Linked DNA regions of Macaca mulatta. The main gene of each other region encodes a partner of the protein of the gene in region 6 in a complex. Links are inferred from orthologs where the notes say so. Each region holds a gene or a part of one and is shown on either strand. Other genes may lie near its edges. The genes, in order: SCTR, FZD3, OR51E2, GPR3, HRH2, guanine nucleotide-binding protein G(s) subunit alpha isoforms XLas and GPR21.

Evidence for each region.
Region 1: the proteins of guanine nucleotide-binding protein G(s) subunit alpha isoforms XLas (region 6) and SCTR are in contact, whole or in part, in a cryo-EM structure (PDB 6WZG), measured with the Homo sapiens proteins. The link is inferred for Macaca mulatta from reciprocal best matches to the Homo sapiens genes GNAS and SCTR. Residues at the interface, in NP_000507.1 of Homo sapiens: Gln35, His41, Val217, Phe219, Thr350, Tyr358, Phe376, Cys379, Arg380, Asp381, Ile383, Gln384, Arg385, His387, Leu388, Gln390, Tyr391, Glu392, Leu393, Leu394; in NP_002971.2 of Homo sapiens: Arg174, His178, Tyr239, Leu240, Leu243, Leu244, Ala245, Ser247, Phe248, Ser250, Glu251, Arg252, Leu320, Lys323, Thr326, Gln327, Thr329, Arg339, Arg342, Ser343, Leu347, Tyr388, Leu391, Asn392, Gly393.
Region 2: the proteins of guanine nucleotide-binding protein G(s) subunit alpha isoforms XLas (region 6) and FZD3 are in contact, whole or in part, in a cryo-EM structure (PDB 8JHI), measured with the Homo sapiens proteins. The link is inferred for Macaca mulatta from reciprocal best matches to the Homo sapiens genes GNAS and FZD3. Residues at the interface, in NP_000507.1 of Homo sapiens: Lys34, Tyr358, Gln384, His387, Leu388, Tyr391, Glu392, Leu393, Leu394; in NP_001399840.1 of Homo sapiens: Arg232, Lys318, Ser321, Glu322, Leu397, Val400, Lys408, Lys413, Leu414, Phe417.
Region 3: the proteins of guanine nucleotide-binding protein G(s) subunit alpha isoforms XLas (region 6) and OR51E2 are in contact, whole or in part, in a cryo-EM structure (PDB 8F76), measured with the Homo sapiens proteins. The link is inferred for Macaca mulatta from reciprocal best matches to the Homo sapiens genes GNAS and OR51E2. Residues at the interface, in NP_000507.1 of Homo sapiens: Gln31, Gln35, Arg38, His41, Asp215, Val217, Phe219, Tyr358, Phe376, Cys379, Arg380, Ile383, Gln384, Arg385, His387, Leu388, Arg389, Gln390, Tyr391, Glu392, Leu393, Leu394; in NP_110401.1 of Homo sapiens: Met58, Tyr59, Asp120, Arg121, Ala124, Ile125, Cys126, His127, Pro128, Leu129, Arg130, His131, Ala132, Leu135, Asn136, Asn137, Ile220, Thr223, Val224, Leu227, Pro228, Ser229, Glu232, Lys235, Ala236, Thr239, Cys240, Lys294, Thr295, Lys296.
Region 4: the proteins of guanine nucleotide-binding protein G(s) subunit alpha isoforms XLas (region 6) and GPR3 are in contact, whole or in part, in a cryo-EM structure (PDB 9LYB), measured with the Homo sapiens proteins. The link is inferred for Macaca mulatta from reciprocal best matches to the Homo sapiens genes GNAS and GPR3. Residues at the interface, in NP_000507.1 of Homo sapiens: Gln35, Arg38, Ala39, His41, Val217, Phe219, Asp323, Asp343, Leu346, Thr350, Tyr358, Cys359, Phe376, Cys379, Arg380, Asp381, Ile383, Gln384, Arg385, Met386, His387, Leu388, Gln390, Tyr391, Glu392, Leu393, Leu394; in NP_005272.1 of Homo sapiens: Met75, Arg134, Ser137, Leu138, Tyr139, Ala141, Leu142, Tyr144, Tyr145, Glu147, Ile216, Ile219, Val220, Arg222, His223, Gln226, Ile227, Leu229, Gln230, Arg231, His232, Lys244, Gly245, Thr248, Arg300.
Region 5: the proteins of guanine nucleotide-binding protein G(s) subunit alpha isoforms XLas (region 6) and HRH2 are in contact, whole or in part, in a cryo-EM structure (PDB 9IXJ), measured with the Homo sapiens proteins. The link is inferred for Macaca mulatta from reciprocal best matches to the Homo sapiens genes GNAS and HRH2. Residues at the interface, in NP_000507.1 of Homo sapiens: Gln35, Arg38, Ala39, His41, Asp215, Lys216, Val217, Asp343, Leu346, Arg347, Thr350, Tyr358, Phe376, Arg380, Asp381, Ile383, Gln384, Arg385, His387, Leu388, Arg389, Gln390, Tyr391, Glu392, Leu393, Leu394; in XP_006714928.1 of Homo sapiens: Arg116, Ala119, Val120, Met121, Pro123, Leu124, Arg125, Tyr126, Pro127, Val128, Ile205, Val208, Ala209, Gln212, Ala213, Arg215, Ile216, Ile219, Ser220, Trp222, Lys223, Lys231, Ala232, Thr235, Leu236, Leu291, Asn292, Arg293, Asp294, Arg296.
Region 7: the proteins of guanine nucleotide-binding protein G(s) subunit alpha isoforms XLas (region 6) and GPR21 are in contact, whole or in part, in a cryo-EM structure (PDB 8HMV), measured with the Homo sapiens proteins. The link is inferred for Macaca mulatta from reciprocal best matches to the Homo sapiens genes GNAS and GPR21. Residues at the interface, in NP_000507.1 of Homo sapiens: Gln35, Arg38, His41, Val217, Pro321, Asp323, Arg342, Asp343, Leu346, Arg347, Thr350, Tyr358, Cys359, Pro361, Phe376, Cys379, Arg380, Asp381, Ile383, Gln384, Arg385, His387, Leu388, Gln390, Tyr391, Glu392, Leu393, Leu394; in NP_005285.1 of Homo sapiens: His61, His62, Thr64, Arg127, Ala130, Ile131, Thr132, Pro134, Leu135, Thr136, Tyr137, Asn138, Thr142, Pro143, Ile214, Ile217, Cys218, His221, Thr222, Asp224, Ile225, Arg228, Gln229, Arg231, Phe232, Arg249, Tyr250, Val253, Leu254, Asn308.

The regions. Positions count from the first base shown.
Region 1 is NC_133417.1:17,985,522-17,989,596, forward strand, and holds the start of SCTR (secretin receptor), read left to right. Parts: upstream 1-1,275; 5' UTR 1,276-1,542; coding exon 1,543-1,614; intron 1,615-4,075.
Region 2 is NC_133413.1:30,306,517-30,310,032, reverse strand, and holds the end of FZD3 (frizzled-3 precursor), read right to left. Parts: intron 1,414-3,516; coding exon 1,200-1,413; 3' UTR 501-1,199; downstream 1-500. UniProt on the Homo sapiens protein: Receptor for Wnt proteins.
Region 3 is NC_133419.1:71,235,958-71,240,073, reverse strand, and holds the start of OR51E2 (olfactory receptor 51E2), read right to left. Parts: upstream 2,801-4,116; 5' UTR 2,606-2,800; coding exon 2,597-2,605; intron 1-2,596. UniProt on the Homo sapiens protein: Olfactory receptor. Activated by the odorant, beta-ionone, a synthetic terpenoid. The activity of this receptor is probably mediated by G-proteins leading to the elevation of intracellular Ca(2+), cAMP and activation of the protein kinases PKA and MAPK3/MAPK1.
Region 4 is NC_133406.1:213,563,329-213,567,354, forward strand, and holds the start of GPR3 (G-protein coupled receptor 3), read right to left. Parts: upstream 2,801-4,026; 5' UTR 2,654-2,800; exon of another isoform or gene 2,544-2,653; intron 1,610-2,543; 5' UTR 1,605-1,609; coding exon 612-1,604; 3' UTR 1-611. UniProt on the Homo sapiens protein: Constitutively active G-protein coupled receptor that maintains high 3'-5'-cyclic adenosine monophosphate (cAMP) levels that a plays a role in serveral processes including meiotic arrest in oocytes or neuronal development via activation of numerous intracellular signaling pathways.
Region 5 is NC_133411.1:184,605,080-184,609,228, forward strand, and holds the start of HRH2 (histamine H2 receptor), read left to right. Parts: upstream 1-1,349; 5' UTR 1,350-3,105; coding exon 3,106-4,149. UniProt on the Homo sapiens protein: The H2 subclass of histamine receptors mediates gastric acid secretion. Also appears to regulate gastrointestinal motility and intestinal secretion. Possible role in regulating cell growth and differentiation.
Region 6 is NC_133415.1:111,699,117-111,702,335, reverse strand, and holds the end of guanine nucleotide-binding protein G(s) subunit alpha isoforms XLas, read right to left. Parts: exon of another isoform or gene 2,521-3,219; coding exon 2,466-2,520; exon of another isoform or gene 2,333-2,465; coding exon 2,259-2,332; exon of another isoform or gene 2,162-2,258; coding exon 2,103-2,161; exon of another isoform or gene 1,999-2,102; coding exon 1,878-1,998; exon of another isoform or gene 1,732-1,877; coding exon 1,601-1,731; exon of another isoform or gene 1,494-1,600; intron 1,346-1,493; coding exon 1,278-1,345; intron 1,008-1,277; coding exon 861-1,007; 3' UTR 501-860; downstream 1-500. UniProt on the Homo sapiens protein: Guanine nucleotide-binding proteins (G proteins) function as transducers in numerous signaling pathways controlled by G protein-coupled receptors (GPCRs).
Region 7 is NC_133420.1:24,744,776-24,748,982, reverse strand, and holds GPR21 (putative G-protein coupled receptor 21), read left to right. Parts: upstream 1-1,407; 5' UTR 1,408-2,012; coding exon 2,013-3,062; 3' UTR 3,063-3,933; downstream 3,934-4,207. UniProt on the Homo sapiens protein: Orphan receptor.

The DNA.
Region 1 (4,075 bases), on a different chromosome or scaffold from region 6:
TCCGCAAACATCCTTGCACATTTCATTAGGCCCTTGGGTGAGTATTTATGTAGAAAGAGTTTCTAGAAGGAAGTTGGTGATTATGTATACTTTAGGTTTGATGTGTACTGAGCATTGATTTTGGACCTAGAAGCTGAATGGATTTTCCTCCCTTTTATTTCTTCTGGGATTTACCAGCCTTGATTTATTAACAGTCTCTTCTGGTAGGGAAGGCTGCTAAGGACAAGAGCACATTGTTACTTTACTAGCTGCATGGCCGTCTGAGTAGAGGCCAGTTACAGAGAGTCAGGTCAGCCATGGAAGGGTAGATCCAGGCTTTCCTGTCTGAGCCTCTGAGTTGCAGTACCCAGACATGTAATGAAACCTCCTCCACCTTCAATGCCCTCCTCTGTCAAATGGGCATCATATCACCTAGGGGTTTGAGGGAGAATTAAATGAGCTGATGTACTTCAAGTGCCTGGGAGAAAGATAAAGAAAGGGGGAGAGAGAAGAGGGAAGGGAGTAGGCACCAGTGCAGACAAAGAAAACTTGAGTTTACAAGACCCATCTAGGGCTGGACTCAGTGGCTCATGCCTATAATCCCAGCACTTTGGGAGGCCGAGGTAAGAGGATCTCTTGAGCCCAAGAGTTCAAGACCAGCCTGAGCAACATGGTGAAACCCTCTTTTTTATGTGACAGTAAAAAAAAGGCCATCTGGGGCGCCTTGTACTCCAGGATAGGGAGCACCCTTGGAGTGGGCTACTGGGACTATCTGCCTGAGGCTTAAATAGCTTCCCAGGCGGTTCATCCTCAGGACAGTCCCCAGATGCCTGAGTATACCACAGATCTTCCTTGGTCATCATCAAAGGAGGAGCTCATCGGAGTGAAACTTCATGGAATGGGAGCTAATGACTTCAATAATTAAGAAAAAAATACAGAAAATCGGAAATAAAGTGCAAGTAGCTGTCTGGGGAGAATAGATGCAATGGGCCTTGACTGTGTCACAACTTTCAGTCTGAGAGTGGGTATTCTCAGATGTGTTGTTAGGGCTGAGAAAGCCGAGGCTTACAAAGGTGACCTAAGTTGCCCACCGACCCCCTAGCGAGCTTGCGCCTTCGGTCCGTGGACTCCAGAAACAGTGCTCTTTCTGGACCTGGGGTAGTGCGGGATTGCCGCGTGGTAGACTAAGCCAGCGTGCCCTCTCCTGGCCTCCTCCAGCTTGGGCCCAGACTGCGGGAGCCTACTCCGGCCCCCGCGCCCTCCCTCTGCCTCCTCCCCTGCTGGCCTCCGCGCCGGCCCCCAGCCAGTCCCCCGCCGGGTGGAGGAAGCGCGCCGGAGCCGCCGCGTCCTAATCAATGGGCTGGGCTGCTGAGCGCGCGCGGCCACCTGGTCCGAGGAGGAGCAGTCCCCGGGCCCGCCGCAGGTCGGGTGGCTCAGCCATGGCTCCTCTGGGCGCAGCGGCCGGCCGGAGCCCGGGATCGTGCGCGGGGCGCTGAACTCCCGAGTGGGCAAAGGGCACGGGCGGGTGGACGTCGGGGCGCCCTCGGGGAACGTGCGGGCACGATGCGTCCCCACCTGTCGCCGCCGCTGCAGCAGCTACTACTGCGGGTGCTGCTCGTCTGCGCCGCGCACTCGGTGAGTACTGCCCCCTTCTGAAGGCTAGGGGACCCAGGGAGCGACAGTCTCGCCGCTTCTCCGGCCTTGGCAGGATGCGGGTGGAGGGGACTAGCAGATCTTCCGCTGAGGAATGGGGACTCTTCCCTGTCAATCCTCCCAACATTAATCTCTCCCAGCTCTTCTCCGCAGGGACCCCTTCCCAAAGAAAAACCTTGTGCGCGCCACGCGAAGGCAGCTCCAAGATGAATCCCCGTGCCCCCCACCCACCCCTTCCTCTAGCCTGGCTTCTGAGACACTCCTAGACGGAAATTCTGGAGCCGCCCCGGGCAGTGCCTATTGTGTCCTGGGCGCTTTGCCTCCAATCTTTCCTTGAAACCTCTCAATCACCTTTCGAGGCTGCTATTACCATCCTCACTTTATAGACAAGGAAAGGAAATGAGAGGGGGAATAACAATTCTTGCTCCAAGTCAGAAGAAGAGGATTGCAACCCACATCAGTATCAGTCTGCCCCCAAACCTTGACATTTTCACACTCACGGGCTGCAGATGGGAAAACCTGAAGGGAGCTCCGGCAAGAGCTTCCGGGTCTGCGATGGGACCGTCTGCCACTCTCCCCACACCCTCTCGTGTGGGACGCGGCTCCCTAATGTCTGCGTGTCTGGTGGCTGCTGGGTGCTGCTGTTCCCCAAAGCCAGGTCCTGGCAAGCGGCTGGAGGAGGAAAATACTACTACTAATAATAATAGCGGCAGGATGGGTGGTTTGTTTTTCTTTCCTACAGAAATTCCTGGGAGTCTCCGGCCTCTCGGAGCTCTGGGATCTGTGATAAAGAGAGTGGCCCCACCCAGACCAGCAGAAAGGAAGGAATGGGGAGGGAGTGGGGGTTAGAGGTGGGGGCCAGATTCCAGAATCATCCCTTCCCACTAGCATTCCAAACTGGTCCCCAAGGTGTCTGTTCCAAGAAGCTCCTAGGGAAAGTGCTTGGGGACCCAGTTGAGTCTCTGATCTCTGTCCTGGGCAAGTCTCCTGGTGTCCAACCTCCTTGTCTTCCCGTAGTCCCCTCCGGTTGGATTATAAGGAAAATCAATGCTCCCAATGTTGACACTCAGGAGATGCTCATTTTTCTGGTAGCCCCAAGACTTTCAGCAGCAGTAGTTGGGATGAGTGCAATTTGGAGCTTGCTTGGAACTCCCTTTCCACGGTGGAGCCTCCTCTCTTCAGTGGCAGTGCTGGCCTTGGAAGATGCTAGAGCAACAGCATGCACTCATGAGTTTCGACTCCCAGTTTGGAGAAATGCCAACTGGGATACTGGGGACAGTGTCAAGCCAGGTAGAGCCTGGAGGTGTGTTATTCCGTGGCTAGGGGTAGGAGAGGCAATAGCTCCTTCCTTGGGACCCTCCCAGCCTCCTTCTTAAGTATTTGCAGTGACTCTGAGACTGTCATAACTGGTACCTCAAGTGCAGGACTGAGGTTCAGTCTGCATTCTTGTCTCAAGAAAATTCCTGGATTATCACAGGAATAAGTGGAAGGGGAAAATGAGAGGCTTCCCTTGGTTTAAGTCTTCAGTGTACCTTGGAAGGATGCTTCATTAGGCTCTGGCCCCAATCCCTTATTTTAAAAATGAGCACACTGAGACCCTCAGAGAGAAGGGAGCTGCCCGACATCAGCAAGTTAGTAGCAGAGCCAGGACTAGCAGCTCTACTAGCCCCACACACCCCACTTAACCCACTAAGGTTAGCACCCAGGTCTCTTGATTCCCAACCATCCAGGGCTCTGTCTGTTATGCCCCTTCTTTTTCCTTTTTTTCTTTTTCTTTCTTTCTTTCTTTTTTCTTTTCTTTTTTTTTTTTTTTTTGAGACGGAATTCATTCTTGTTGCCCAGGCTGGACTGCGATGGCGCGATCTCAGCTCACTGCAACCTCCGCATCCCAGGTTCAAGTGAGTCTCCTGCCTCAGTCTCCTGAGTAGCTGGGATTACAGGCATACACCACCATGCCTAGCTAGTTTTTTGTATTTTTAGTAGAGATGGGGTTTCTCCATGTTGGTCAGACTGGTCTCAAACTCCTGGCCTCAGGTGATCCGCCTGCCTCTGCCTCCCAAAGTGCTGGGATTAGAGGCATGAGCCATGGCACATTACTGTCTTACATAATCATAAGATGGTTTTCTGTGTATAAGTTGTGGCCCTTGGATTACTTTATGGCTTCTGTAGACCTTATATCTCACACTTCTTGGCTGAGAACGCCTGTAATAAATAGGAGTGAAACTGACCTACTTTGGTTGGAATATTTCCCAGCCTCTGGAGCCCTGCTTTCCTTCTGTTTGACTCTGGGTGGTCAGACATTTGATTCTGAAATCTAAGTGTGTTCAAATAATTTTTTATTCATTAGAAGCTCCCCCTCGAGGGGAATTATAGGCATCTTCCTAATGGAGGGAGGTCACTGAGGGCAAATTGCTTATTACCACTCTCCCTCTACTCCATATAG
Region 2 (3,516 bases), on a different chromosome or scaffold from region 6:
TTAAGATTAAATGATATTCATAGTAAGACTACTAATCATGCTTCATTTAGCTACAGTGATTTTCCAATATCAAATCAATCACCACTTTGGACTGAGGTTATATATATTTCAGTTGTAAACAAGAATGATCCAGAATCTGAAAATAAGGGTGTGGGGCAAAAGCTGTAGCCTACTGGCTATTGGGCAAGGCAAGTGCAGACAATCAACTCACTATAGGAGGGCCTGGAAGCCAAGGTCTGGTGGCTTTGGCAAGATCACATCTCACTATAGAAAAATACAACAATGAATACAGAGAAAACGTTTTGCCATTTTGTAAGTGTGGTTACCACAAAGAACCTTATAATGTATGATGTTTATCTTATCACATGCCTCCACAAAGCAAATTTTGAACATTAAGTTCTGTATGAATCAATACTATTACATGGGAAAAGATGGCCACAAATTAAAATTTTTCCATCATGCATATGGATAAGTTATAAAAACACAGCCAGTAAAAGTAATATTTACAAAAGTTAGAAAAACAGCACAATTATAGGGGAAAGAATGCCCATCTCTTTATTCCACTGCTAATCCAAATCCTGAATATCTCTGGATGAAGATTATTTCGAGAGAATGCTGAGAGAACCTTTCATAGACTAATCAAATTCTTCTGTTATACTTTTATTCTATTAGCTAAAATACCCTTGCTGATTTATTAAATTCTCCTACAGTTTAAAAACACAGTTCTTTTTTCCCTTAGTGTAAATAAAACTACAAAGTCCTACTATTCATCTGAGAAGTAAACCTTGCATAGAAAATTTCTTTAATTCTGAAATTGTTTTATTAACTGAGCTACCAGAATGTTATCTCACAACTAGTTTACAGCATATGAAAGTTCACTACAAAGCAGTCACCACATATTTAGGATTTTTCTAAATATAAAATGAGTGGGTTTATAAAAATGCTTACCAGACAAATAATTATCTCTTCATAACCTAGAAAGACGAATTATTTTTGTGATGATAGAATTGTTAGTGTTTTGGATGCCTTGATGTTCCAAGTTTGATGCAATATAAAAAGCAAACATTTACCTTTCCAGTGGACACAATTTGTAGTTGACTGAAAGCATGTTAACAGTGAGTTACAGCAATCAGTCATGCAAAAGGCAAAGAATAAAATCTTTTTAAACAGCACAAGTTTTCCACCTTAGACAAGACAAATTAAGCACTGGTTCCATCTTCTTCAATAACCCGATTCATGCTGGTGCCATGTGTGATGTGAGTCATGGGATTATTACTGAGATCTCTGATGCTGCTATGTCGTGACTGTTCATTGAGTCGATGAGAACTACTATGCCTGGAGTGATCTGTTAGTCGTGACATGCTGCCATGAGGTAGTCTCTCCTCCATTCCTCTGTAACTGCAGGGCGTGTACCTGTCACGAGAGAGTTTATTTTGAAGTGGGTAACAGAACACACTAGAAAATTAATAACACTAATAATTTTCATAAAAACGCCTCAGTAAGGGAAATTATTAGGAAATCAACCATGAGAAAGTAATAACCAACTTTTGATTGCTTAACTTCGTTAACACTGTAGAATTATTGACATGGCCAACAAAAGAGAAGAAATAATCCACTCAGAATTAAGGTTCCATTCATTCTCTGCAAAAGGACAGAAGCTAAGATTAAATAAGGCTGATCGATTTAAAGCTGCACTAGATATGGATACCTTTGTCATTCAAATGAGTTTTGAACAGGGTGGGTTCAGGGAGAGGGGTAACAACAAATAGAAGAAATGTGGCATTGTCCCTGGCAGCCAAGAAGAGTGGCTATGATCAGTAGACGGGTACACTCAAATTTTATTAAAAGACTCTGATTGGAAGAGGGAGAATATGAAATCAGAGGTGAAATCGGTATAACCTAAAAAAATAAATAAATGAATAAACTGGCAAGCAATGATGACAGTATGTGCCGAAAGCTGCTTTCCAGATAGCCCAGTTAACAACTGAATTAACTACCTGTAAATTATCTTAATTACCTCTCATCAGGGCTTCAGGCTGTGAAGATGCTCCTTCATGGAAGCTACATCTGCTTGGAAGTTACGTCCTAACACTTTGTAACCTATATTCTGGCTAAAGTAAATTCTTTGTACCTTCAGCTCTAGACCCAGCTTGGAGTTTGTGAGCTGGGCTCCCTCTGCTAACTGCAGGCTGTCTCCTTCTCTGCACTTATCTTGGAAAGCAACAATGGAGCTGTTAAATTTTCTTTTGTTGCAGTCCTGACTCACTGAGCTTTGCCATGAGGAATAAGATTAGCTCTAGGCCAGTCAAGGTCAGGAAAATCAATTATGACTTTTTTATTAGGCCTTTGCTTATGGAGCTAGCATGCTATTTATCAATGATTCTGGCTTTATAGTGTGCTCTTTCAAGGTAAGGACCATATTTTATCCTTTAATCCCTAGTGCCTCAAGAAGTATTTGTTTAAAATACTTTTTGTTTATACTTACACCTATACATATACCATTTTGTAAAAGTATTTGATTTAGGATAATAAACCTCAAAGAAAACTTAGTATAATCTATAACTTTAATTAAGATTAAGTTTTAAGTAACGTTTCTAAAAATAATATATAGCAGGCTAGGTTTTTTTTTTTTTTTTAAACAGTCATCAAAAAAACTAATCATAAGCAGCTGCAGATCTGTTGGCTGTCAGAAAGCGTTAATCCACCATTCCTTCACAAAAATAATTGTAACAAATTTCATGACTCAGTGTGAATTATTTATAAAATTTAAAGATAGATTCATACACCACAGAGGTGATCTTCTAGTAACATTTTCATTAGATCAGAGTTTAAAACTTGAGAAGTCCTTTGAAAATTATTTTTTCAAAAAAACATGTATTTTGGCCGGGCGCAGTGGCTCTGGCCTGTAATCCCAGCACTTTGGGAGGCTGAGAAGGGCAGATCACCTGAGGTCAGGAGTCCAAGAGCAGCCTGGCGAACATGGTGAAACCCCGTCTCTACTAAAAATACAAAAATTAGCTGGGCGTGGTGGTGGGCACCTGTAATCCCAGCTACTTGGGAGGTTGAGGCAGGAGAATTCCTTCAACCTTGGAGGCAGAGGTTGCAGTGAGCCGAGGTCGCACCACTTTGCTACAGCCTGGACGACTAGGGCGACACTCTGTCTCAAAAAACAAAAACATGTATTTTTGTTTCAGTAAAGCAAAAAAGAAAAGTTAAATATGAAAAGATAAATATTTTAAACATTTCTCATGTTAATAGGTAAAATGTTATTTCTCATTCATTAAAAGATAACTTCATATTTAGGACCTAAAACAGTTTTAAATTTGTTCTGCATGTTTCGGTAAATAATGACAATGTTTGCAGATGAAAACATTTCAGAATGGGCTTGTTATTCTAGTCTAATAATTATTATTCTGCATAATGGTTGTTGCCTTAAAACTGAGTAGAAGATTTTTCCAAGTTTCCAAATATGACTTGGCAGCTGATTTGGAGATCTTTCACCTCTCAATGGCTACC
Region 3 (4,116 bases), on a different chromosome or scaffold from region 6:
TGTGGGAAATGAAGCTAGAGGAAGCAGCAGAGGTCAAATCATGAAAATCCTGAATTTCGTGGAAAGTGTAATGAACTTAAATTTTTGCAGAGCATCAAGAGCCAGACATTTCTAAACATTTTATTCACCTTTTATTGACCACTGGAAGCAAGGAGCTTTGCTTTTAATAAATAAATCATTTTCCATCTCTTCTCATTTAATGCCAACAAAATTCCTTTCCCTCTTTAGTATCTTGTTTAGTACCATTGGTTGCTTTTTTGCAGTCTGCAATACTCAAGTTTTACTCTAACTCAACAATAAAAGCTTCCCACAGTTTTATATAGATATTTCCAAACCATTCATTTCAACCAGGATATATTGAATAGTTTTCATAATTAGCCTTGTGCTTTGATAGTGATAGTGAGGGATACAAGACATAAACCCTGTTTCTTTCTCAATTTCCTGCTGTATCTTTTATAAGGATAAAAATTCCTTTGGAGAACAATCTGCTTTTGTTTATTATTCCTTCACCTTCAGTAACAATCTGAATTCTTTCCCTAATGACTCTGAAAATCCTCCAAATGATGTCACCCGTGATTTTCTACATGCCAAGTCCAAAAGTTTAATCTCAGATTTGTTTCTCTCTCCCTCATCTCAACTTTCGGCAATGTTTACCTCCTCCTCCTTGAAACTTTCTCCTTCATTAGCTTCAATGATGGTTATTCTGTGAGGTGTTTTTTTTTCTTTTTTTCTGTTTGTCAAACAATGGTTTTGTTCTCTACCTTATAAATTGTGGGAGTCTAGAGGAGTCTGCTTTTCTCCCAAGAAGTATCTCTTCTTTCCTTGCTTTTCATATGCTCTCCTTGAGATATCTTGGTTATTCTCATGGCTTTAAATAGCACTTATATCCAGAAGACTCATAAATCTGCAATCTAATTATGGCATCTCCAGAGTTCTATGTTTTAAAAGTTAGCAGAATCTTTAATGCTGTGGCAAAGTTTCTGGTTTTAAGTGTAAAGGTAGTAATGAAATGTGAAAATACAGTGAAGCAATCAAACCTGTAATTTAGAAACATAATTGATAGCACTTTGGAGAACAAAGCTCCATGCTTCACGTGGTGAATAAAAGGTAAATAAAATACTATGGCAACCCCTGAGGGACATCTTCACCCATCATCACTCAGTTACTTCAACCTCTGTATGAGACAAATAGAACTCATTCTCTCCTCCCTTCCAAACTTGGCTCTTCCTCCTGCTTCATTTATCAGCAAATGGCATCGAACTCTAGCAAATCACTGAATTAAAATTACTACCCACCATATGCACACACATGTGTGCACACACACACCTTCGTCTTTCTCTCTCTCATCCCTTACATATAAAGATTAGTTTTTAATTGATTCTACTCCTGAAATGCAAAAAATGAGAACCTCGGGAGGTCTATATAAGAAGGCCAAGCAATTGTTAGTAGTGGGTATTTGAAGCTATTATTTCATTGTGTTTTTCTTACATTGAAAAAATCTTAAGTGTTTATATCCAAGACTAGAGGGGGACTAATGAATATTCTTAGAAGGAGGCACTAAATTTCCCCCAAGCTTCTCTTTTGTGCTGCCTTCACTCTCAAATCTTTCCGACCCATCCTCTGCAATTCATACATACCTTCATTTTCTCTCTTGCGAAATAAGGTATATTCTCTCAACTAATTTTCCTGCCTACTCAGATTATGATGATACTCTTCTTTCACTGCACTATTATAAGCTATAGCTTGTGGCTCTCTTAATCTGCTGAACTAGACCGTATAGTGTCATCAGTATTCTCCATGCTATTGGCAATGGTATGGCTATCGTGTGTAACTGACCTGAGTTCAGATTCTAGCTCAAACACTAACCAGTTTTGAGACCATCTACACCATTAATAAAAATATTACTCATAAAAATAGCAACCATTTACTGGACACTTGTTTTGTGAACATTATTGTCCTTAGTGCTTTATAAGCATTATTTTAATTCTTAGTATATCGTCATGTGACAAGTATTATTAGATTCACTTTAAATTAATTTTTCTGGTAAAGACACTGAGTATCAGAAGTTCTGAAACATATTTGAAATCACACACAACTAGTGAAAGTCAGAGCTGAATTTTTAACCCACGTGTTTTTAATTCCAAAGCTCATGCTCTCAAAAACAATTGTTTTTCTGAAATCTACAAATAATACAAACTTTCTGTGATCCAGTTTCTTCATCTATAAGACAGGATATGCACTGTGTCTAATACCAGTAGCTGGCATGCAACGTGCTCGAAATTGGTAATTTTTCATTTTTAGTAATAGCTATTGGGCATAGAAATGAGATTCACTGACTGTGATAAATATATTAGCACACTAATTAAATCATTTGACGAAAAACAAGTTATCCAACCTGTATCAGGCAGAACAAAATACCCATTCTCTACCTATTTCCTGAGAATAAATAATTCTGCAAATTCTACCATCCTCCTCAGCCCACCATCCCAACATCTAATCTAATTCTGCACATTGTGAAGAAATTATTCCCTGTGGGTGAGAAAGTCCAATTCATCTAGAGTCAAGCATTTTCCTTGAACAAAACAGTTTTACTTACAGAGCCCATACAGCAGTCCGGCCTGTTCCTTTCAGGCTGACTCAGAAGGCTGAGAGGCTTTAGATTCCAGGGGAGGGCCAAGCTTTCAAATATGAGGAGACTTATTCCAGCCTGATTGGAGACAGGCACAGAGCTGAGAGGCCAGTTCCTGGTGGTGGTGCTACTAACTCACTGTGTCTTCAGGGTGTGGAGATTCCCAGAAGACTTCTTTTGCCTCATATAGTCCTTTTATATCCGTTTCATTATGCAATTACTTATGGTGGCTATGTGCTTTATGGGCTGAGGTAACTTTTTGTTCATGTGTCATTTACTCAAAAGCTTTTTTATTTAACAGCTTTATTGATATATAATTCACATACTATAAAATTCACCCATTTATAGTGTATGATTCAATTGTTTTTAGTAAAGTCACAGAACTGTGCAAAAAACATCATCACAATTCAATTTTAGAACATTTTCATTACCCTTAAAAGGAACCTCATAATCACTAGCAGTCACTCTGAAGGAGATTTTAAAAGACAAAATACTGTATCAAATTGCTAAATGGCATCTCCTATTATGAGTGAGAGTCCAACTCTAGCCCTTAACTCCTCAGTATCTATTATTATTCACAGCAGCATGGTTTCATTAGTCTGCTTGTGGTTCTTTGCAGCAGCAGTCTTTCTCTTATAGATAAAAAATAATTCATTTACTCATCCATACATATAACCAGTAAATATTTCATAAGAATGTCCCATATTCTAAACATTATGCTCAGTGATAGAGTTTTTTTTAAGAATACACCATAATTCTTACTGTTTAGGATTTTAGTGTAGAAGATAGGTTAACCAATAATTACGTGTTAACCAATGATAAGGTTATCCTAGAGGCATGAACCAAATGTTTGGTGAATACGGTAGGTAAAAAAGTCTTAGTTCACAACTTAGTTGTGCATAAAATACAGTTTCATTTATTTTTTGTAATTTTGACCTGTTTTATATTTTGAAGTCCCAACCTACCAGGTTGAAGAGAATTAGTCACAATAATTTGGGGTTCTCCCTACTTGTAGTCTAATTTTGAAAATCTTGTATTATATCAAGAAAAATTGTGGGTAGATGGGTGATTGATGTCACCTTCTGTCAGGTTACTATTGCTCTCATTAGTCTTTAATAAATAGAATGCATAGATTGCTATAAGTTGTCCATCTTGTCTACTTAATGACCTCTTTAAATCCTTAGATATTCCCACTAATTTTGGACCACTCTTCGGGCATGTGGGACTTGGATTCATTCTCGGTTTCTGTCTCTTACATCCTGCATTTAATCCATCAGTAAATTTTGTCAATCTCTTTGAAAAATACGACCAGAAATTGATCACTCTTTATCATCTCCAGAAATGTCACCTTTATTTAAGTCACAATTATCTCTCACTTGAGTAATTTCAGTAGTTTCCTAACCATTCTCCCTGCTTCCGATATTATATCCTCCCCACTATCAAGTCTGTTTCACTACTGAAAATGTGATGGCCTGAGTGATTTTCTT
Region 4 (4,026 bases), on a different chromosome or scaffold from region 6:
CCAAAATAATAACAAAATACGTGGTTTCTCTTTCTCCCTTTCCCCCCTCCAGGAACTGAGGTCAGAAATGGGGGTGAGGGGACAACGGGTACCCTGGTATGGCCTGGATATCAAGGTGTGGGTATCTTTTTCCCCCCTTACCACCCATAAGTAAATTTATAAATAAATAAATCATAAATAGACACTCTCTTTGTATGTGCGCGTATATAATCTTTCTCTCTCCTATTTAGGCAACTATGTGACTAATCTCTCTGACTCTTTAGTTCAGAAATTCAAACGTAAAGTGACATGGTTAAGGTCAAGTATGGGGGAGGAGGGACATCTGGGACTTGGAATGGCACTGTAAAACTCCCAGCATTCCGGAATTGCAAGCCAGCTGGGCTGTGAGACATTTCTGAGTAGATCCCTGACCACCTGAACATTCTGGAACCATGGAGCCAGCTGGACCCCCACAGGGATCTGAACAAGAACCTTCAAACACCCAATGTCGTAGAACTCCAGAACCAGCTGGGTCTGGGGGGTGTGGAGCTGGGGGTTTGGAAAGAAGCCCTGGAGAGCCTAACATTCTGGGATTCTGTAGTGATCAGGGCTGAAGGATCACGAAGACTCAGCTAGACATCACTGGGGGAGCGGGATCGGAAGGGTATCTTGGAAGAGGAACAGCAGCAGCAGACAGCCCACAGCACTTTCTGCACATCCTGGTTGCGGAAGGCATAGATGATAGGGTTGATCATGGAGTTGTAGGTGGCGGGGAGCAAGGTAAGATAGGTGTAGAGAGGCGGAGAGTGGGCATCACCCAGCAGGCAGTAGACAGTGAAGGGCAACCAGCAGGCGGCAAAGGCTCCAAGCACCACGGCCAGTGTGGCAATGCCCTTGCGGGTGGCCACATAGTGGGAGGCAGGCAGCAGGTGCCGCTGGAGGGCAATCTGCTGGGCATGGCGGCAGACGATGCGGCAGATTTGGGCGTAGAGCTGCAGCATGATGCCAAACACCATGAAGAAGGCAATGGCCAGGACTACCAGATGGTTCTTGGAGAGTGGATAAACCACGCCACATGTGGTCAGGCCATCCAGGCAGTTCCAGGCCATCACAGGCAGCAGCCCCAGGCCCAGGGCACCTCCCCACACTAAGGCCAGCATCACATAGGTCCGTGTCACTGTTGTCTCTGAATAGTAGGTGAGGGCATTGTACAGAGAAAGGTAGCGGTCAACAGTGATGGCCAGTAGACTGCCGATGCTGGCGGTAAAGGCCATTGCCAGCACGCCAACCAACACCAGGCTCATCTCCGCTGAGCCGATGCAGAAGACAGCAGCAAAGTACAGGACCAGGCCCAGGCCTGCCAGCAGGTCTGCCACGGCCAGGCTGCCCACCAGCAGGAACATGGGGGCACGGAAGGCGGGCGTGCCCACGATGATGGCCACCACTAGTGCATTCTCGCAGGACACCAAGGTGCCTGAGATGCAGAGCACCACATCCCAGGCCTTAGGTGAGGGCAGCGGTGCAGCTGGACCTGTGGGCCCCTCTGCTGGGCCCACGCTGCTTACATTCACGTTGCCTGAGCCAGCTGAGAGCCAGGCCAGAGGGCTGCCTGCACCCCACATCATGGTACCTGTAGGAGAAAGGCCTTGTGAGAAGCTGACCAAGCTGGATGATGCGAGGTGGGGTCTGGAGGGGGTGAGGTGCCCCTCAGGATACATGGTGGGAGTCTCTCCTCAGGATACCTTATAGGGTCCCAACGCCTTATCCCCACATTCATCCCCTGGGGCTCCTCCCAGGATACCGCTGTCCTCTCCAATGCCCCCAGGCCTCTAAACAGGGGTCTCTTCCTGGGGATCCCTGTCCTAGGTCCTGCACGTCTCTTTTTCCATGTGTGTGACCAGAGGAGAGACAGAAGAAGGGGTACTATAAGCGGATGAGGGCCATAGGATCCAGGGGATGCCCCCAAAGGCTCAAGATTGGGGTAGGGAAACATCTGGAGACTGAGCGGCTCTGCTCCCTCCCATCAGAGATGATGATGCTAGCTCGTGCCTGAGTCTCCCAGACCCCTCACGATTCTCAGTACTGCCAGCCTTAGACTCCGCCCCCGGGGAATGCGCGTGAAGCTCCCACCAGCCACCACCCCGCACTCCCGCGGTAACACCTGGGAACTCAGACCCCACCCGCCACCCTCCCAGGCTTCTGTCCCTGGCTGGACCCTTCTTTCTGCCTGCATCTCTAGGTCTCTAGGCAGACCCCCCTGCTGGAAGCCCGGATCCCTGAGTCAGATGCCTTCTTCTGCCCGGACACCTGGATTTGGGGCCTGACTCCGCCTTCTGTCTAGATACCTGGATTCCCAAGTCGGACACCTCCTGCTGTTCGGACGCCTGGGTCCCTGCCCCAGACGCCTCCTGCCGGCTTAACCTCAGATGACCATCAGTCCCTCCAGGGCCTCGGGTCCCTGCAGGAATGCTCACCCTTCGCCGGGTCATCCAACTGAGCCCCAGCACTCAAGCACTTAGGCCCACGTCTGCTAACCCAGAATCGCCTAAACCCAGAATTCCCACCTGGAATTCGGACCCTGGCCGGCCGCTAGGAGTCTTCCGCCGGCCCAGTGCCCCAGCATCCTGCGTGCCCTCCAGGACCCCTAGTGTCCGCGGCGGGGCCCACTACTCACCGCTCAGGACCAGGCGCGGCCAGGCCGCGGGGAGGCTCCGCTCGGGTCCTGGCGGCGCAGGGCGTGCGTGGACCCCGAGAAGCCCCCGCGGCCGCGGGAGAAGCGGCGTGAGTCACCCCGTCCCGCCCCGCCCCCGGCCACCGGTTCGGTGACGTCAGCGGCCCGATTAGCCAATGGGCGCGGAGCGCTGGGGCGCAGAGCGCGTTGCGCGGCATAATAATGAGGCCTCGCGCCGCCCGCTCCCCCATTCATAAAAAGCGACTGTGGCTGCGGCCCCGCCTCCTCCCGAGTCGGCCCGCGCTGTCCTTGACGCGGCGCCCTCTGCGGGCCGGGGGTTTCAGCGGCGCCGGTGGGAGAGCCTTGTAGTCTCAGGGAGGCTGCTGGGAACGTGGTGGAAGGGGACCCGGCTAGGCTGTGGGGTGATGGGACCCTTGGGTGGCAGAGAGGCTGACGAGATCCAGATGACGAAGGAAGAGCTTGTGATGGGGCTGGTTGGGCGTCCCTGGTGAGGATGACAGGGTTGCCAAGATGATGGGGCCCTGAGGTGACGATGACGGGGAGCACGAGGGAGCGGGGAGGTGGGTGGCAGTGACATTAGCATGGTGACAGAATCTTGGGGGGCGTGATGGCCGTGGGACACCAACGGTAGAGAGGAAACCCCCAGGGCAACCATGGCAGTGTGACGGTGACTCTGCAGCAGGGAGGAGTTCAGGGACCCCGGGATGGCAGAGGCGGCAGCCTGGGAACATGGAGTGTCCAGGTGACTTCAGGTCACTATGACCCTGTCAGAAGGGCTGGGGTACTGAAGCGACAATGCTAAGCCATGAGGGCCGTGGGGCCCTGGAAGGAAGATAGCAGGTGGCCGTGGTGAGTGGGCTCCAGGGTGAGGGGCACAGGGTAGAGCGTCCGGACTGACAGTGACCAGGCAGGTAAGTTGGTGCCAGGGCAGGTCCCATGATGCTGGGGCTGGGATAAGAGCTGGGTGACGTCACTCATGTCAGCCCAATAGCGCCCTCACAGCACCGGAGGGGTGGGCCTGGCAAGATTTCAAAACCTGAATTATTTATTCAAGGATCTAGAAAGCCAGAGGGGAGGGAGTCGGGGGTGCACTTCCCCGAAGCAGGAGGAGATGGGGAGCCGGGAAGAACTTGGAAGCAGAAAGCCTGGCAGCTCAGTCCTCAGGGCAGGCCCCTCTCAGCCTCTCATTTTAGGCATCCTGATGGGTGGAGCAAGAAGGAGCTCCCTCTTCCCCAACGCCGACTGCCCTTAGTCCAGGGGAACCACTCTGGGCAGATTTCTCCAGATGTGACAGATGTGGCCAGTCCTGTGGCAGGGGGACTGACTGCTCTTTCTCCCTGTGTTTCTTGCCTTGA
Region 5 (4,149 bases), on a different chromosome or scaffold from region 6:
TCTTCCCCCTGCAGATGGCAGCTCAGATTGTTTTCCATTCTTGCCATTGCACATCTGCCAGTGGACATCCTTGTGCACATATCCTCATGACAGCAGTTGCACTGCCGTGGGCTGGGCTCCCTGAAGGATGGCTTAGATCTAAGCAACCTAGAGGGCCATCCATTATATATTGGAAATTTTAAAAGAAGTGAAGGAGAAGCAGTTGCTCAGTAGCGTGTATGCTGTGTATGGACAGTGCCCGGGGTGTGTCCATGTGCATGCAGAGGCATGAGAAATGCAGGAGGCCCCCACATACCAAATGGTCAGCAGCAGTCACTTCCTGGTGCAGGGGCGCAGGTGTGTGGTGGCCCTGATTTTTGGCCCTTTCTGTACACCTCAGGGGTACTTGGCTTACTGGAATAAGCCTGTCATCACTTGAGAAGTTTGAAAGGACAGTTTGAGAGACTATTTTTTGTTAGCTATGATGGTGACAACGATGGTGACAAGGATGACATGATTCTTCCTCACAGGCAAAGAGAAGCCATTGAAGGTTGCTCCATAAGGGGATGACGTGGCCCTCTAAGGCAATCCTTCTGCCCACATGGGACAGGAGAGGATGGGAGGGAGACAGAGCGCCGTACAAAATCACCTGCCCTCGAAAAAGGTGACCAGAATTTACGGGAGCTGGGCTTTAAATAGGAATACAGCAGAAGTGGTTCTTCTTTGAAAACTCCATGAAGAAAGGACTCACAGCTGTTTTGGTCATCATTGTCCTCCCAGCACCTGGAGAAGCATCTGACACATTCTGGGTTTTCAGAGAAATGTGTGTTGAAAAGGACTGAGGAAGAGAAGGAGGGGTGGGAGGGGAGAGAAGGAAAGAATTTTCTAATTATAGGAGAGGCTGGTTCACTCAGATTTGAAGACCTCTCATCCAAACATAACTCAAATGTCAGCCTGATGCCAAAATACCTATACCCGGCTGTTGGGGTAAGTCAGAAAAAATTTTGATGAGAAATAGGGATTCTCAAAAAAAATACCCTGATTGCTACCCCCTCCAAAGTTAATTAAGTGTGGCGGTGAGACCCATGCTGTTTGGGCTATTTATATAATGAAAAGATCTGCTAAAAATAATACCCGGAGGTTCAGCTGCCAGGACTGGTGGCTGAGCCAGGGAGGGTGGCAGAAGGTGATCGGGAACCCTGATCCCTGCACGAACACAATCGTTATGATTAAATGATGCTTCTCGTATTCAGGTTGCAAACCGCTCCAGGCAAGAGCCTGGGAGAGGCTTAATTTATGTTTTATGGAGATTAGCTTGCTTCTGAGAGGAGGTTCCACCGTCAACTCGATTTCTGCACACTCTCAGAGCTCAGGAGATTGCCTGCTCTCTGAAAAACCAGGAGAAGCTGGTAGGGAAGGACCGGGGCGTGGAGCAGGGCCTCCGCTTGTTTCTGGCCAGCTGGAATCATATACAGCCACCACTGGGAGGGCGCCTTGGAGATTATCTGGTGACCAGGGGCTCTTATTTAACCAAGAGGCATTGCACATGCAGTTACTTTATTGAAGTAGTGTTTGCACTACTTCAATAGTGCAAAGGGAGGAAGGGAGGAAGGAGAAACCACCCAAATGCCCGTGAGAGGGTGATATGGGGAAGATAGGATAAACCTATTCATGGTGAGCCTCCCCACAGACTCTTATGCAACCATTAGAAGGATTGAGTGAGTTCTGTCCCTGCTGACCTGGATGTGGGATCACGTGTTCTGCCAAGTAAGACCAGTAAGATTTAGAGATGTGTTCAGAGCAGGGGTGGCGTGGATGACAGGTGACGAACTGCAGACTAAATCTGGCCCTCTGCCTGGCTTTGTACAGCCCGTGGCTAAGAATGGTTTTTACATTTTTAAATTTTGGAAAAAGATCAAAAAGAGATTTTTGTGACACGTGAAAATGATATGAAATTTAAATTTCAGTGTTCATTACTGAAGTTTTGTTGGAGTGCAGCCACGCTCTTCTGTCTGCACGTCATCTGCATAGCTGCATTCTCACTGCAAAGGCAGAGCCGAGCCGTCACAGGCTGCTAGGCAGAACGTGTTTATTACCTGACCCTTTTCTGAAAAAGTTTGCCGGCCACCACCTTAGAGTATGAAGACATTTTGCCCAACAGCAGCACCAGATACTGTTCTCAGCACTTCAGAGGAGTAGATTCGTTACATTTGTTTATTCATTCATTCATTTTATCCTTTATTCATCAGACGCTTAATGTCTGTCTGTGGGGCCAGGCACCAGGAGCAAACAGATGCAGGCCCTCTTCTAGTGGAGCTGAAAGTCTGTGTCTAGATCCTTCTTTTCTCAGTGCAAGCACTTCCAGCTTTTCCAACTCTTCTCACAAGTCTCAGTATCTAACCCCTTGCATCCTGCCTCCCTTCTGCCTCCCCATTATGTATCCTGATTGCCCGAGTCCCTCCCAAAGAGAGGTATCCAGACTGGCCCCATACTTCCTGGGGTCTTGCCAAGAGGTTGAGATCTAGTAGAAGGATACATCTTGAATCGGGTCATGCTTTCTATCTGGTTTCAAGGTGCTTAACATCCAACCTTTGCCTTTTTAGCTCCTGCCCTCCACTGACTGCAGAGAGGGAGATCCTCAATACTTGACTCCATCACGCAGATGGGAGCAGGCACCAGCTATGGAGAGGGATACAGCTGTGTCTCCACATGACCCATCCTGTATGACACCAAAGCCACCGCCAGACAGTGCCTCGGATTCTATGCAAAACCCGGGGAGTGGAGACCTACCCCAGTCCCGGGAGGAAGCTAGCTCTTCAGGGGATCATCTGAGGACTGGAGTTTGATACATGAACCTGGCTTCAAGGCTTTGCTTTTCTCTATTCTTCATTCATATTCATTCTCAACACCTTAGAAGGTGTTGCTTAATTTATTTCTAGAAAAGCAGCCCAGAGTCAGTCATTGAAGCCTTCCCCACCCCCTGGCCAAAAAAAAAAAAAAAAAAATTGGACACATTTTGGCTCTGTTGGGAGCCTGGAATTCAGTGGTTGGCATAATTGTCACATTGGGAGCGGAGAAGCAGCAGCCAGGGGCCCTGGTCAGGGGACCGAGCCATAGGGTCCCAGCATGGCACCCAATGGCACAGCCTCTTCCTTTTGCCTGGACTCTACCGCCTGCAAGATCACCATCACCGTGGTCCTTGCGGTCCTCATCCTCATCACCATTGCTGGCAATGTGGTCGTCTGTCTGGCCGTGGGCTTGAACCGCCGGCTCCGCAACCTGACCAATTGCTTCATCGTGTCCTTGGCTGTCACTGACCTGCTCCTCGGCCTCCTGGTGCTGCCCTTCTCTGCCATCTACCAGCTGTCCTGCAAGTGGAGCTTTGGCAAGGTCTTCTGCAACATCTACACCAGCCTGGATGTGATGCTTTGCACAGCCTCCATTCTCAACCTCTTCATGATCAGCCTCGACCGGTACTGCGCTGTCATGGACCCACTGCGGTACCCTGTGCTGGTCACCCCAGTTCGGGTCGCCATCTCTCTGGTCTTAATTTGGGTCATCTCCATTACCCTGTCCTTCCTGTCTATCCACCTGGGGTGGAACAGCAGGAACGAGACCAGCAAGGGCAATCATACCACCTCTAAGTGCAAAGTCCAGGTCAATGAAGTGTACGGGCTGGTGGATGGGCTGGTCACCTTCTACCTACCACTACTGATCATGTGCATCACCTACTACCGCATCTTCAAGGTCGCCCGGGACCAGGCCAAGAGGATCAATCACATTAGCTCCTGGAAGGCAGCCACCATCAGGGAGCACAAAGCCACAGTGACACTGGCCGCCGTCATGGGGGCCTTCATCATCTGCTGGTTTCCCTACTTCACTGCGTTTGTGTACCGTGGGCTGAGAGGGGATGATGCCATCAATGAGGTGTTAGAAGCCATCGTTCTGTGGCTGGGCTATGCCAACTCAGCCCTGAACCCCATCCTGTATGCTGCGCTCAACAGAGACTTCCGTACCGGGTACCAACAGCTCTTCTGCTGCAGGCTTGCCAACCGCAACTCCCACAAAACTTCTGTGAGGTCCAACGCCTCTCAGCTGTCCAGGACCCAAAGCCGAGAACCCAGGCAACAGGAAGACAAACCCCTGAAGCTCCAGGTGTGGAGTGGGACA
Region 6 (3,219 bases):
TTCATTTTGGTGTGTGCAATGAGGTAGGGATCCAGTCTAAATTTTCCCCAAATGGCTACACCATTTCTTGAATAACCCCATTGATTTGAAACGCGGCGCTCCTGTATTTCTCCACATCATTTAGTCCCTATCTTATAGCAAAAAATACACTACTTTTCTTAGGAAGCCTGGGTCAGCAGGCAAACTGTGTGATGATGTAATGGCATAAGTTGGCAGAATCTTTGGATAGGATGGCAGTGATCAAAATGTAGAGGTGACTGGGGCATAGTGGTCCACTATGGGGTAAAAGTTTGGGAGATCAACAGGAGTGGACTTTTCCTATTGTCTGAAAATTATTTCAAGACACCTACATTTTACAGTCACCAGAAAACATACAGTGGTGAGATTTTATACCCACTTCACCTTGGGGCCTCCCAACTTTTGATGTAAGGGCCAAGTCAAACCATGAATGACAGGAATCTGCGCAGAACCACAAATAACTCACGGGAGTCCCATCATTCTTTGCTCACATTTAATTTTTATTTTGATTTTTTTTAATGCTGCACAACACAATATTTATTTCATTTGTTTCTTTTATTTCATTTTGTTTGTTTGCTGCTGTTGTTTTATTTATTTTTATTGAAAGTCAGAGGGAACTTCTGTGGCCTTTTCTCCTTTTTCTGTAGGCCGCCTTAAGCTTTCTAAATTTGGAACATCTAAGCAAGCTGAAGGGAAAAGGGGGTTTCGCAAAATCACTTGGGGGAAGGGAAAGGTTGCTTTGTTAATCATGCCCTATGGTGGGTGATTAACTGCTTGTACAATTACGTTTCACTTTTAATTAATTGTGCTTAAGGCTTTAATTAAATTTGGGGGTTCCCTTCTTAGAGCAGCTCGTACTGACGAAGGTGCATGCGCTGAATGATGTCACGGCAGTCGTTGAACACACGGCGGATGTTCTCAGTGTCCACAGCGCAGGTGAAGTGAGGGTAGCAGTAGTGACGCCCATCTCCACTGGCAGTGCTGATCCTCTGCGGGTACAAACGCAGGGACTCGTCAGTGACACCCTCGCCAGGAACCACCCTATCACTGATGGGGACACCTACCAGGGACGGCTGTTGGCCAGTCTCTGATGTCATATGAAAACGAAAGCAAAAGGAGGGGTGCAAAGAACTCAAATCCACACTGGATGTGCGTGAACTAAAACCATGGACCTGGGTAGCTGAACCCCTGAAGTAAATTTACATCCATGAGAAAAAGAGGAGGAGCAAGAGAGGAAACTAAAGACAGGCTCAACTCACCAGAAACTCATCTCGAATGAAGTACTTGGCCCGGGTCACGCGTGGGTCCTCTCCGGGCTCGGGAGTAGCTATAAAAAAAAGGGAATATATATTAATGTAATTAAAAAGTCAAGCAGAGCTGGGGTGCTAGCATCATTGTAGCTCCTGAAGTCTTCAAAACCCTGATTTTTCCATATGAGAATTAATGCAAGTGTGTTTTTCTTGCTTCTCTTACAGATGCTTTATGGTTTGGTGGTGGGAGGGGGATGGCGGCTTTCAGCCCTACTGTTTGAAAAAGAACCACTGCAATGAACAGCCAGCAAAAGAGTGGAAGCCATACACACCATCCTCAGGAGTAGTGTAGCGAGCAAATTCTGGAAAGTAGTCCTCAATCTTCGATTTCCCAGCAAGGACTTTCTCAGCGAGCAGATCTTGCTTGTTGAGGAACAGAATCACAGAGATGGTGCGCAGCCATCTACAAGAAGGGAGGCCGTGTGAATGCCCGGGAGAAGCGCGCTTTTGGCCAGGGGTCTGGAATGCTTGCACAGGGTTCTTTTCTACAAACAGTGCAGACCAGGGCCTCCTGGGCAAGCGCAGGGGGTGGGCGGTCACTCCACAAACCTGTTGTTCCAGATGCTCTTGAAGAGGTTCAGAGCCTCCTGCAGGCGGTTGGTCTGGTTGTCCTCCCGGATGACCATGTTGTAGCTGCTGCTGGCCACCACGAAGATGATGGCAGTCACATCTTAACCAAAGAAAGCAAAGCCAAGAGCGTGAGCAGCGACACTGATCCCTAACAACACAGAAGCAAAGCGTTCTTCACGAACAGCCAAGCCCACAGCGTCCTACCATTGAAGCACTGGATCCACTTGCGGCGTTCATCGCGCTGGCCACCCACGTCAAACATGCTGGTGGAGAGGAAGACAGCTGGTTATTCCAGAGGGGCTGGGGTAAATGTCAAGAAACCATGATCTCTGTTATATAAAAAGGTAACAGTGGGCTTACTGGAAGTTGACTTTGTCCACCTGGAACTTGGTCTCGAAGATTCCAGAAGTCAGGACGCGGCAGCGAAGCAGGTCCTAGAACAAAATTGAGGTCAATGGATCTCAGCAAAGCCAATCGAAATAGTAATAATTTCCAATCTAAAGCAAAAGTCTGGGGTAGTTTGGGAAGAGGGCTCAGGGTCCTCTGGTGGTGAAGGGTTTTGCACACCTGGTCGCTCGGCACATAGTCAGCCTGCTTGATCACATCGATCTTGTCCAGGAAGCTGGGAGAAAAAGAAAGGCACATGGGGTGTTCACAGCGTTCACATTAATTTGCCAACTATTTGTGTCTCTCTACAAGGTCAGGCTCAACGGAAGTGACCGTCCCACAGTTATGCAGCACTAAGTCAATGGCATATTTGCTTGTGTGTTGGTTACATTTATAACTCAAAGCTGATGCCTTAAGAAAGTTAGGCCAAATGGGATTTAAGATAAATAATTTTAGGAATCAGGGAACTCTAGATGCGTCTAGCAGCTAGCCTGCGGCCTCGGTGCAGTGGGGCCACACAAACAGCACAGGACAGTGGTGGGGCTTTGTTCTTCATGTTTATTTTTTTCTATTTTTCTTTTTTCTTCTTTACTTAGCTTGTTTATTCCTGTTGCTCTCTGGTAATATTCTTGATTTTTAAAAGGTTTTATGCATATCAACCAGTAGAGAAAGGACCCCAAAACCAGGCTGACCTATCACAATCTGTGCCATTTGGTAATGCTTGACAAAAACATTTCAATTTTCAAATTTCCTGCCTAAAATGGCAGTTTGAAAATTGTATACCTCTGTATCATTCAGTTAAAAAAATAAATAAATAAAGTGACATTCTTAAAAACATCAAGGACTTTCTCCTCAAGGGCACATGAGATTGTTTTAGTTACTGAGAATCTGTAGCCCTTCCTTTTCACTTTTTAAGAATCTCATTGATTAAAGG
Region 7 (4,207 bases), on a different chromosome or scaffold from region 6:
GGCCATTTGTCTGTAATAAGAAAGCATGTGTATAAAATGAATTAAAAATGAAAGTTGGATCACACATTTTACTCAGTTGCCTACCTCTTGGAAAGCTTTCAAATGATAGCATTTGTTTATTGTCTTTTACTCTGCTGGATACTTTCAATTAATCCTTCTAAATACTAAAATTACACATTTTCATAGCACCCAACTCTGTTACCTGAAAATTGTCATCATTTATGACATTACTAGGAAAACCACAATATAATCCCAGTTTGCATTGTTTTAAATAGGCAGAAACAAGATTGTATATTCTAAGATACAAAGGCTTATTTGTACCATGAAACCTCCTGTAATATCCATGCCTGAGTAGAAGAAGGTACATTTACTTTTCTATCTTTTGTTTGTATTCTTGTATACTGCTCAGCAAATTAGAAGCAAGAAATGTATCTCAAAACTATAGGGTAGTGTCAAATATGGGAACAATGTAATTTCTCTGTGCTATTTCTGTAGTATTCAGAATGGGAAATACTTTACTTTTCTCTTGAAAAAGTGATTTTAAAGTTTCTTGGCCAATATTCAGTGAATCATGAGAGACAAAATTAATGGTGAATAGCCTTCTAGCTAGAACTTCTTGTGCAGCTGAATTATGATTGTCAGTTGCCATATGCCATACACTTAAAGGAGGTTAATATACTTCCTTTCTTTAATATTGCTCTTTGTTCTTTGGGAAAATGCCATGAGAAAATAGGAATTACCACTCTGGCAGTGTGTTTCAGTCTAACTCCTGACACCCTGTTCTGCTCCTGCCCCTTCTCCTTGCTAGCAGCCTGAATTCTGCTTATCTACTAAAAGGGGGATTCCAGACAGACGAGGAAACAGCTTTCAAATGAGGCACTGCAGGCATAGCAAGCCATTCCCACACTGTGCAATCTGGAAATCAGGGGGCACCTCTCTGACGATGAATTCCAATTAGTTGCTAAAGATTCCGGAGTGTGTGCACATACAGGCGTTTTCTTTCCCCTCCCCCTTTCTTCTTTTTCCCAAGCCCCCTCTTCTCCCTGTTTCCCCTCCTACTCCTTTATCCCCTCCCTTCGTGTCTCAGTTCTGCAGTACGCGAGTTGAAGCACATTCCTGCTTTGCAAGGCTTTCTGTTAAGGATGTATTGTGGCTTTTGTTTGGATTGCAGCATGCAGAATTACAGGTAACATTCTGAAATTGAACTAAACAGCAAATTCTGTTGAAATGTTTTCAAAGAGGCAAAATATTATATTGGAATCAATGAAGAAAGTAAATTATTTTGGCTATTTTTATTAGTGGTAATTGTAGTGAAAGGTTTTCATAAATATTATAAGCAAATTCCCTTTTTCCCCCAAGTCTCAAATGAAAGGAAATGGGGGTAAATTAATCTGACTGTGATTGGTTTTGTTTTATGCTGATCTTGAAAGCTTGATGTTGCTGCTGCTCCTCTATACAGTACAGATCAGTTATGTGGGGTGCTATTGAGGGTAGCCATGAATAGTGGTGCTAGTAGGGGTGGAGTGGGAGGGATGATGCCAGCCTGAGCTAGCCAGGTTCTTTGATTAGGGCATTGGATGTGAAATGTAAAATGCTCTCTCCTTTTCTTCTATCAGCTGTTCAGAGGAGACTCATTACAACTCCTGCTGAAGCTCCTAATCTTCTTCCCTTCTCTTCTACCCTTTCCCCCTACCCTCACTTGGCCTGAAGACGTTGTCCCCAGAGTTTACGTTGCTCCCCTGGTGCTATGTGTATGGTGAACCTGGCGCTATGGCCACGTCTGGGACTGGCCAGACAACTACTGCTGGCTCTCCTTATTCCAGGAAGGATTTAAAGGGGAATTGCACTGCAGGCAATGCACCAGAGCAGCAGCATCGGGAGCTTGGGGACTAAGGCTCCTCTGGCATTATTACACACATGCAAAGCTGACCGCAATGACAGCAGCTGCTTCTTTGAACTGTTGGCAGCAGCCAAGCGGCAGCATGAAGTGACAGATCACTCCTGAGCTCAAGATGAACTCCACCTTGGATGGTAATCAGAGCAGCCACCCTTTTTGCCTCTTGGCATTTGGCTATTTGGAAACTGTCAATTTTTGCCTTTTGGAAGTATTGATTATTGTCTTTCTAACTGTATTGATTATTTCTGGCAACATCATTGTGATTTTTGTATTTCACTGTGCACCTTTGTTGAACCATCACACTACAAGTTATTTTATCCAGACTATGGCATATGCTGACCTTTTTGTTGGGGTGAGCTGCCTGGTCCCTTCTTTATCACTCCTCCATCACCCCCTTCCAGTAGAGGAGTCCTTGACTTGCCAGATATTTGGTTTCGTAGTATCAGTTCTGAAGAGCGTCTCCATGGCTTCTCTGGCTTGTATCAGCATTGATAGATACATTGCCATTACTAAACCTTTAACCTATAATACTCTGGTTACACCCTGGAGACTACGCCTGTGTATTTTCCTGATTTGGCTATACTCGACCCTGGTCTTCCTGCCTTCCTTTTTCCACTGGGGCAAACCTGGATATCATGGAGATGTGTTTCAGTGGTGTGCGGAATCCTGGCACACTGACTCCTACTTCACCCTGTTCATCGTGATGATGTTATATGCCCCAGCAGCCCTTATTGTCTGCTTCACCTATTTCAACATCTTCCGCATCTGTCAACAGCACACAAAAGAAATCAGCGAAAGGCAAGCCCGCTTCAGCAGCCAGAGTGGGGAGACTGGGGAAGTGCAGGCCTGTCCTGATAAGCGCTATGCCATGGTCCTGTTTCGAATCACTAGTGTATTTTACATCCTCTGGTTGCCATATATCATCTACTTCTTGTTGGAAAGCTCCACTGGCCACAGCAACCGCTTCGCATCCTTCTTGACCACCTGGCTTGCTATTAGTAACAGTTTCTGCAACTGTGTCATTTATAGTCTCTCCAACAGTGTATTCCAAAGAGGACTAAAGCGCCTCTCAGGGGCTATGTGTACTTCTTGTGCAAGTCAGACTACAGCCAACGACCCTTACACAGTTAGAAGCAAAGGCCCTCTTAATGGATGTCGTATCTGAAGTGGCTCAGTTACGGGGTTCCCCTGTGTGTGTGTGTGTGTGTGTGTTTTATCTCTAAGTATTCCTCATTCACTAGGAAATCTGAGACAGAATACTTTGACTCTAAGCAATAGCATGCAAATTATTCGTACGGATACCTTCTAAGTTTGTAGAAATGGTTTTCAAAAGTGCTTTTGAATTAGAAGACTTAAGATCATGAAGACAAATTGCTGTTGCTTTCAATTTTTGAAATGTCTTGGAAATGACTACAGTTCTCAGATTTAGAATGAATAAAGCCATATCTAACACCTCTTTCCAGCTGGCATGACTGAACCTGAGTGTGAAAAGCGTCAGCATTTTAAAAAGTCATCATTTTGTTGTCACTTTGTGGGTTATTTCCAGCTATTTAGGCTTCATGTGCAATTGATTTCTTCTAACAGGGAATAGTAAAATATAAATTAAAAGGTTTTAGAAATTATTTTTTATGTATGCCAAAGCATAACTACACTGCAAGTTTCAACACTGTCATTTAGAAAGCCAAATGTTCTATGTTTTATTCTCTTGAGAGAATTCTCAGTAGGGTGAATAATGTGAGCACATAAACACTAATTTTAGAATTTTACAGTGAACCATGAAGCAAAAGTGCAATCAAATTATACAGTTTATGAAAAACTGTGCTACTTTTTGTGCCATACTTCACAGAGATCTAAAGATATGTGTGCATAGAAGTGATCATGTTGTAGTATTTTTGCCTGTGCCTTTGTGTTATGTCTATATTTAGAATATCTGAATTGTTAGATTTATCTTTTATGGCAAAATGTGTTTAAGCTAAAAAATAATTCAGTGATAGGCTGTTGGCTGTACATTTTATAACAGTGACTATGTACAAAAATGTGTCTTTAATATTGTCTGTTCTTTCTATTCAAAGACTTCCGAAATATTAGAACATCAGGGAGAAGGGTATCTGTCATAAGCAACTGAGTCAGAAAGTATCCCATAGTATACTGATTGTTTTTTAAAAATATAAGGGAGCTGAGACATTTTCTTTGTGGTTAAATGGAATCAACTAGTTATTTTTGAAAAGTATTCTTTCAGTTAGTGCTAAGGAATCCACATTTGAAGAGGGGAAGGGGAAACTCTTAAGTCTCTTATTGCTATTCTCTTTC